Linked DNA regions of Nothobranchius furzeri. The protein of the gene in region 1 interacts with the protein of each later gene in a biochemical or structural test. Links are inferred from orthologs where the notes say so. Each region holds a gene or a part of one and is shown on either strand. Other genes may lie near its edges.

Region 1 (3,977 bases):
AGGAGACGGAGAAGTATGAGGGCAAAACGCTTCCGTCAATCCGTGCGAGTCTGTCCCTTGCGGAGCTGACGGAGAAGCATGAACCAGGCTTTAGGCTGTTACCCCCAAAACCAGACTCTGGATAAGCAGAAGAAAATGGATATGCATATGCTGGTGAAGGTTCTTAGTCATCCAGGTCATTGTAATCCAAAAGGGTTCAAATGAAGGCAACTGGACTTCTTTGAAGATGTTCAGTTGCCTTCATTTGAACCCCTTTGGAAGAAAATGGATGATTAGATGGATGGATTTTGCTAAATCATAATGATTATCTTTATTTCCACAATCAACCAAACAAGTCAGACTTGCTGGCTATGCCTAAATTCAGAGGCTGCATCCTGCCAAAGCCGCATTTGAAGACCAATTACATCACAGTGATGACAGAGGCTGTCCAACAGTAAGTGCTGGCCAAACTGGACATTCTTTTTGTTGTAATAATGGTGGACGAAGTGGGAGACGATTCATTTTTAACTACAAGTACGTGAATTATCTAGCTGTCCCAAAAATTAAAAGCCTAAAGCAGTTGTGTCGTTGAGCTTTTACTGTTTTCATAGTTTTAAAATATATTTCATGCTAAAAATACATGTAAAAACACACTAGCTTCCGTTTCCTATGTGTGGGAATAAATCCGAAATCGAGTCCACTCCCTTCTGGTCTACATGGTGTAACGTCCAGCAATGGTCAGTTTTTAGGTACTGTTTGACCATTCAACATCTGGTCAGAAAGGAGACACGAGACTGCATGTGTTCCCTTTAAATTGGCCTGCCTTCATCCCATCAGCTGGAGTTCAGAGCCTCTCTACAGCTCTGAACTCATGATAACGAATTATCAACAATACTGTTCGCTCCTCAAGGTCCATCCTCATCGTCCTACAGGATTCTTCATGCCTAACACTCGCAGCTCGGATCAGTTGGCAAATCAAAGAATGATTTCCTAAATTAAATATGAACTTCTAAATCTTATAAGCTAGATAATCATTAAATAAACGTTTGTTTACTGCTACTTCTAATAATTATAATGTAATGAACTGTTTCATTAATCTGTGCTCAATGATTGAAGTTGGAAATGAATGTTATGTTATGATTACAGTGATTGAAATATGTTTCAGCATGTTTATATAACAAGGTCATCACCATTTGAACTCACACAAGAACAAAGTAAGGTTAAGTTAAACTCGTGACACATTGATAGCCCTTTACCCCAGATCAGAGCCTCCGGTATCTAAGAAGGCGTGTGTTTCTGAGTCTCTTGGTAATATTCCTCAAACTTGTCAACCTCTGGTTGGCTACACAAATCATAACATGAGAACATTAAAACTGGATCACTCTGGTGATTCAGCAGTTCTAGAGGAAGCTTCAGACCGGCCATCTGAAGCAAAACCCTCTTTAACCCATCAAAGCTTTTGACACGTTAAAACCTTTTTGCACCTGCGAAGCTGATACCGTAACAGTTCCAGCAAAACAAGCTGATATTGTTTAGACTCCTTAAGAGTCCCAGACGTGTGGTTCCATCCATCTGTTGTGACCTAGAGACAACTCTAAGACCAGTTTAGTGGGGCCACAGTTTCTTCTACGGACCTCGGTGCCTGGAAGTCCAAGGACTTCGACATTCAGATATCTAGTAAAAAAATAATAATACATCACCTGTGAAATCTTCTTATAACAGAAGATAAAACAAAGCTTTTCAGATACATGCTGCTATCTTTCTCCTTACTTGTGATCATGTGAACTGCTGATGTCACCAGTGGTCGTGCAATTCTCTGGTCATTTTGTGACATCACGGCCCAGCTGCGTGGAAAGCGTTTGCTGCCGTTACGTGTCTATAATGCTCCCAGTGGGAAAAGAGCTTGTGGGTAAAACACATCTTTACGTGATGCTTCCGCATCCAATGGAAAGATGGGGTTTGTTTTCTTTTATCTAAAGTTCTCTCTGTAGAATGAAGAAATTGACCTTTAACCTTTCCCAGACAGATGAGCAGCAGTGGCTGCTGAAGCATTTCCTCTTTGGAACTGTTAACACACACCTGTATGCTCCAGACCTCACGCATATTGGTTTAGGTATAGTTAAACAGAGGTGTAGCGTGATGACTCATTTTGTTACCTGAAGAAATATTTACCCAACTCTGAAGGCAAGTTATGACCAGATCTTTTAATATCCTGGACCTTTAACTCTTAGAATTACAGGGTGTGTACTTTTTACGCCTGTACATAAAATGTTGCGCTGGACAAATTGGAAGTGGAGCATCAAAGACGAATCATTTCCTTCTCAGCGTAGAGCAGAAGACAGATAAAATCAGCCACCAGATCATTGGGTTCCTGCGGTAACGCAGCTGTAACAGAGCTAGCTTTAGCCACATTAGCAGCGATGCAGTGCAACAAACGGCGGGTAAAACCAGCAGACCTGACACACACGTTCTAATAAACACTCCTAACTGTTAGGGTTCATAGCTGCAGCTGAGAATGATTGCATTCACCGTAGTCCAACTGGACCGTGTTACTGATTTAACCAAAACACCACCCTTATCAGTCAACAAACGAGCACGAAGCAGCGCGCGCACGACTACAGCCGCCTCGCGCCCCCGTTTTGACGTTTCGGTTTGATAAAGCTGATTTAACGTCACGGCAGAGGACAAAACATCGTTGATTTACCGTTTTGTTTGTGCGTAGTTCTTCAGTAACCATTCACTGCGTTTCGCCCCAAGTCGTTTCTGGTCACAGCAACAAACCTGCCTGCGCCAACCCCTTATCCGATTTATTTTCATAATAAAAGGAGAAATTTCCGTTCACTCCCTTTCAAAATAACAGCCACCTGGAGCTGAGGCTACAGCCAATGGGATTGACCCACTCTGGAGGATTTAAGGGGGACTGCAGTTAAAAAATAAATCCCAACTAGCTGGTGCTTTTTACAGTTTTTTTCAGTTGCTAAAGCATTTGTCCAACCAGCTGTCACATTTTCAAAATTCTAAATACAAGTAGCACAGCATCAGTGTTTTGTGGCCACACAATTCACACATTCCATGTTGTTTTCACACAATATGCAGTCAATCAACAGATTTACATAATGCTTACATTGTCTTAACAGAGAAGCTATTGCTCCCAACGAAACTATGGATTGTTTTTGTAGTATTTGCGAATGTTAACACACAACATCCCACAATAGCAAAAACAAAACAGAAAGGACAAACACTGCAATGTCTGGAAAAGGACAAGGACGGGGCCAAGGGAACAGAGCAGGCCCAGTGAAAGGAGCAGGTCCAAGGAGAGGGCAAGGTAGAGGCATAAGAATGTGTGGTGGTGGAATTCCAAGGGTTGCAAGAACAGTAGTCAGTGATGAAATTTGTGCCACCATCATTGACCATGTAATCAACCATGGTCTTTCACTAAGAGAGGCTGGTGAAAGAGTGCAGCCCAATTTGAGGAGGTCAGTGGTTGCCTCCATTATACGCATCTTTCAACAAACCAACAGGTATGTATTGCATTTATAATGGATTGCTTCTATTGTAACTTGCAGTATAAATAAGACCATATAGTAATGCATTTTTCCCCTCTATAGAATGCAACGTCTTCCACCCTCTGGAGGAAGAGGAATGCTCCTCAGTAATGATCAAGAGCTAAATGTTTGTTGCAAATAATGCAATGAAAGTGCATGAAATTCAGACTAGAATAGTGGAGGACCATGAGATATTTGACAATATTGATGGCATCAGCTTCACAACCATTACACGGGCATTGTCCAAACACAGAGTGCGGATGAAGCAGCTCTACACTGTTCCTTTTGAGAGGAACAGTGACAGAATCAAGGAGTTAGGACGACTATAAGTCCAGGTATAGTGTATATTCAATTCAGTAATGATGTGACTTGATTGATTGATTGGTAGTCATGAAGGGATGGACATGGTCAGAAACAATGCTCAGCTAGCCCGTGGCATTTAAACCATGCCCA
Region 2 (3,500 bases), on another chromosome or scaffold:
GCTGATGTCTGGAGCACTGAGTTTTTTCTTTGCCTTCTTGCTGTGGTTTGTTGCAAAGCCTAAAACAGACAAAAATATGCTTAGTGGTGGTTGATTTAGTTCCCAAAAGCAGATAAATGGTGTTTTTTTTTTCTGATTTGATACTCACGGGGGTTTCTGCAGAAATAAATGCAATACTTAGAATAAGTCATAACTTACACAAGTCAGGCTGCTGAGCCCTCATCGTAGTTACAGTTGAACTTTAAAATGCAAAAGCAAGGGAAAAGCGTAGGAGCAGCAACATTTCTCTTAACCTATTACCATGTGGGATCTGACAGGGGTGAGGGACCACAGATAGGTTTTCTGCAGAAATGTACAAAGTGACTTGATTACCAGGGTCGACTTCCTCAGAAGTTCCAAACAGCTCCTCTTCAAGCTCTTCCTCCTCTGGGAGGGGCCTAACGTTTAATCAGAAGTAATCATGACTGTTTAAAACATTTAAAAAGAAACAACACATTGCTAGATTATGACAATGCACCGATACACGTGACTGAAATTACCGTGGAAAATCTTCGTCCTGCCACTCTTCCTTCAGCTCGACTCCTTCCATTCGTAAACGAGCTTCCGTGGTCCTGACCAACTCCTGGCGCTCCAGGCTAAAGACAGGAATCACAAGATGGATTTGATATTCCATACTTCACAGTGATGATTCAAAAAAGACTTTTTGGATTTAGAAAAATTAAATATTTCAAATTCTGGAGCAGAGCAACATGAATAATTGGTTTTCTTGCAATGATGACTTGCAAAACTTTTGTGGAATTTTAAATGAAACCTTAAAGACAAAGTCCACTCATTTTTAGCACTTTCACACTAGCATCTTCTCCACTCGGCCTAGACCGAGTTTGGAGTGTTCTCATTTCCCGCACGCAACCGGACGTCTTTTCTGCCCTCTTCCCAAAGCGGTCTGCCTGGAGCCAAACTGGTCCAATACGCCCACTACTGACTGAGTGGCCAGCTCAAATTGATGCCTACCACTCGGGGGCGCCTCCGATTGGTGGATAGAATCAGCCCACGATTCATAATCATTCTGGATGCTGTGGAATTAACGAGCCTCTGACTGGAGTTTTTCTTTGTGCCACTGCTGTGAGGAAGCACACACACGCACGCACACACACACACACACACACACACACACACACACACACGCACACAGAGTGCTGCCAGACACAACAAAGCAGGATGCAATATCAGAGTCAGAGAGTCTCCAAAAGCAAGACTGCTCAGGCTGCTTGTTTAATAAAGGTGAAACCGCACACTTCTCTGCACGCTCTTTTGCCCTGCCAACACGCTTGGAGATGCACTCATGACATCACTGATATCCATTTTTCATGCCAATTTTGGAGACCGCTCATGTGCTCAATCACTTCCGCATTCCTAAGGCAGTGTGGAACGCGGCCAGGCTGGGGCGGGCGGAGCGGAGCCGATGCTAGTGTGTAAGTGGCTTCTTTCCCGATTTGGCCGAATCGGGGGTCAGCTGGAAACTGAATTAATCGGGAAGTAAGTCTTGTTTTATTAAACTACTTTGTTATGATTTCTGGCCAAGTTTTGCCAATCAGAATTTGACACCACACATGATTATTGTAAGCTTATGAATTGTAAAAGTCATGAAGTGTTCACTTATTCAGAGCGAAGACTGTTGACTTCTGACATTCATGCAGAGTGTGTAGGACCTTGGGAGAGAATGTTTTGTCTTCAGTATGTAAACACGCACTGAACAGAACCTTCTGGGTTTGGAAGGCCAAACAGAAAGTGGATTTATTGCTGTAGACGAAAGGTATGTTGGTCAATATATAAGAGCAAATTGACCCTTTTGGTACGTTACATATGTTTACCTAATAAAGAAAAGCCTTTAGGGTAGGGCTGGGTGATATGGACTAATATCACGACATATTGAGGATTTCACCTCGATAACGATAAATGGACGATAAATACAGGTATGTACAAAAACCAAAAGTTGTCCACTAGATGGTGCTGTCACGTGTATTACGTTGAGTCACATTTTTACGTGACTCAAGGTGGTACAGCGTCTTAAAGGGACATGAATGTCGCCACATCTTTTCACTTTCTTATTATCAAATTTATTGACATGGGAGAAATTACCTCGATAAGAGTCAGAAATTTTGATAAAGATAAATTTTCGATTAATTGCCCGACCCTCCTTTAGGAGCAAATATATTTATTTAGATTTAAATTGTGTATTTTTTAATCAAGTCCTTATTCATTTTTCTGCAGCACACCATTATTACATGGTAAATTGCCTGTATTTGTATTGCACTTTCTTAAAGTTTTACCCCCCCGCCCCAAGGCGCTTTACAACACTCAGTCATTCACACACACACACATTCACACACTGGTGGGGATGAGCTACGGTGTAGCTACAGCTGCCCTGGGGCGCACTGACAGAGGCGAGGCTGCTGACCACAGGCGCCACCGGTCCCTCTGACCACCAGCAGCAGGCAAGGTGGGTTAAGTGTCTTGCCCAAGGACACAACAGCAGCATTCTCTGGTCAGAGCCGGGATCAAACCTGCAACCTTCCGATTACTGGACAACCCGCTGTACCTCCTGAGCTACTGCTGATTAAAATCAATCACACATTAATAGAACAATTAATATCCATGCTGCATCTCAAGTTGTGCGTTTTTACTTTTTGACTGACATAATTTTCTATATTAAAGCTTCTCGGAGTTAGAAATTGTGTTTTGAGGCTTTACACATGAATCTTTTCCCCACAAAAGCCACCTTATTAACCAGATATTGTTCTCAGGGTTCTCCACTGAGGAAGTGTGCTAGCTCATTTTTCTAATTAACATACAACACAGTATACACTCATGTAAGTGGCTTCCTAAACAGCTTAGAAGCTTAAATCACAAAAACAAGACTAACTAATGCCAACCACAGTACCCCTGCTGCACAAAGCCCCCTTTGATGCAGTCATGCACATATTGGTATCCTACACATTTAACATTTCAGAGAAATGGTTGTTAAGCTTTCTGCTGATCTCTATACAACACCGGAAACCAGATGGGAAAGGAATGCCGTTCCCAGGAAAAGAAACAATCCAAGTGCAAGTTGCAACACTTGGATTGTTGAATGTTGGAATGGAAGTCAGATAATGAAGTCAAAATAAACAAAAATGTCTTAATCCATGCAGCTCTGTTCCATTAAATGGTACTTTACAAAGGTGAACTTTATAAAGGTGCCATCTGTGTGAGATTACAAAGAATATCAGCCAACTTGTTTGTAGTTTCATCAACACATTTAACAGAGAACCAAATTAAATAACCTTATCCCTGTTCCTGAACATAGAACTGTCTTTTAAAGGGGCTATAGAATTGAAAATCCACTTTTTGGAGCTTTTTACTAGGGTTGGGCATCGAGCATCAAGAACCGAGCATCGACTGGAACCGGGACCAACTGTTAGTTTTTCCCGGAATCGTTCAAAGTTTTTTTATTTTGATTC

What was found. The genes of interacting proteins can lie anywhere in the genome.
Region 2: the proteins of arhgap1 (region 1) and bnip2 form a complex in vitro, tested with the Homo sapiens proteins (2 studies listed by BioGRID). The link is inferred for Nothobranchius furzeri from reciprocal best matches to the Homo sapiens genes ARHGAP1 and BNIP2.

What each region holds. Positions count from the first base shown.
Region 1 is NC_091743.1:81,736,646-81,740,622, forward strand, and holds the start of arhgap1 (rho GTPase-activating protein 1), read right to left. Parts: upstream 2,801-3,977; 5' UTR 2,684-2,800; intron 1-2,683. UniProt on the Homo sapiens protein: GTPase activator for the Rho, Rac and Cdc42 proteins, converting them to the putatively inactive GDP-bound state. Cdc42 seems to be the preferred substrate.
Region 2 is NC_091744.1:67,581,393-67,584,892, forward strand, and holds part of bnip2 (BCL2/adenovirus E1B 19 kDa protein-interacting protein 2), read right to left. Parts: intron 636-3,500; coding exon 540-635; intron 438-539; coding exon 373-437; intron 60-372; coding exon 1-59.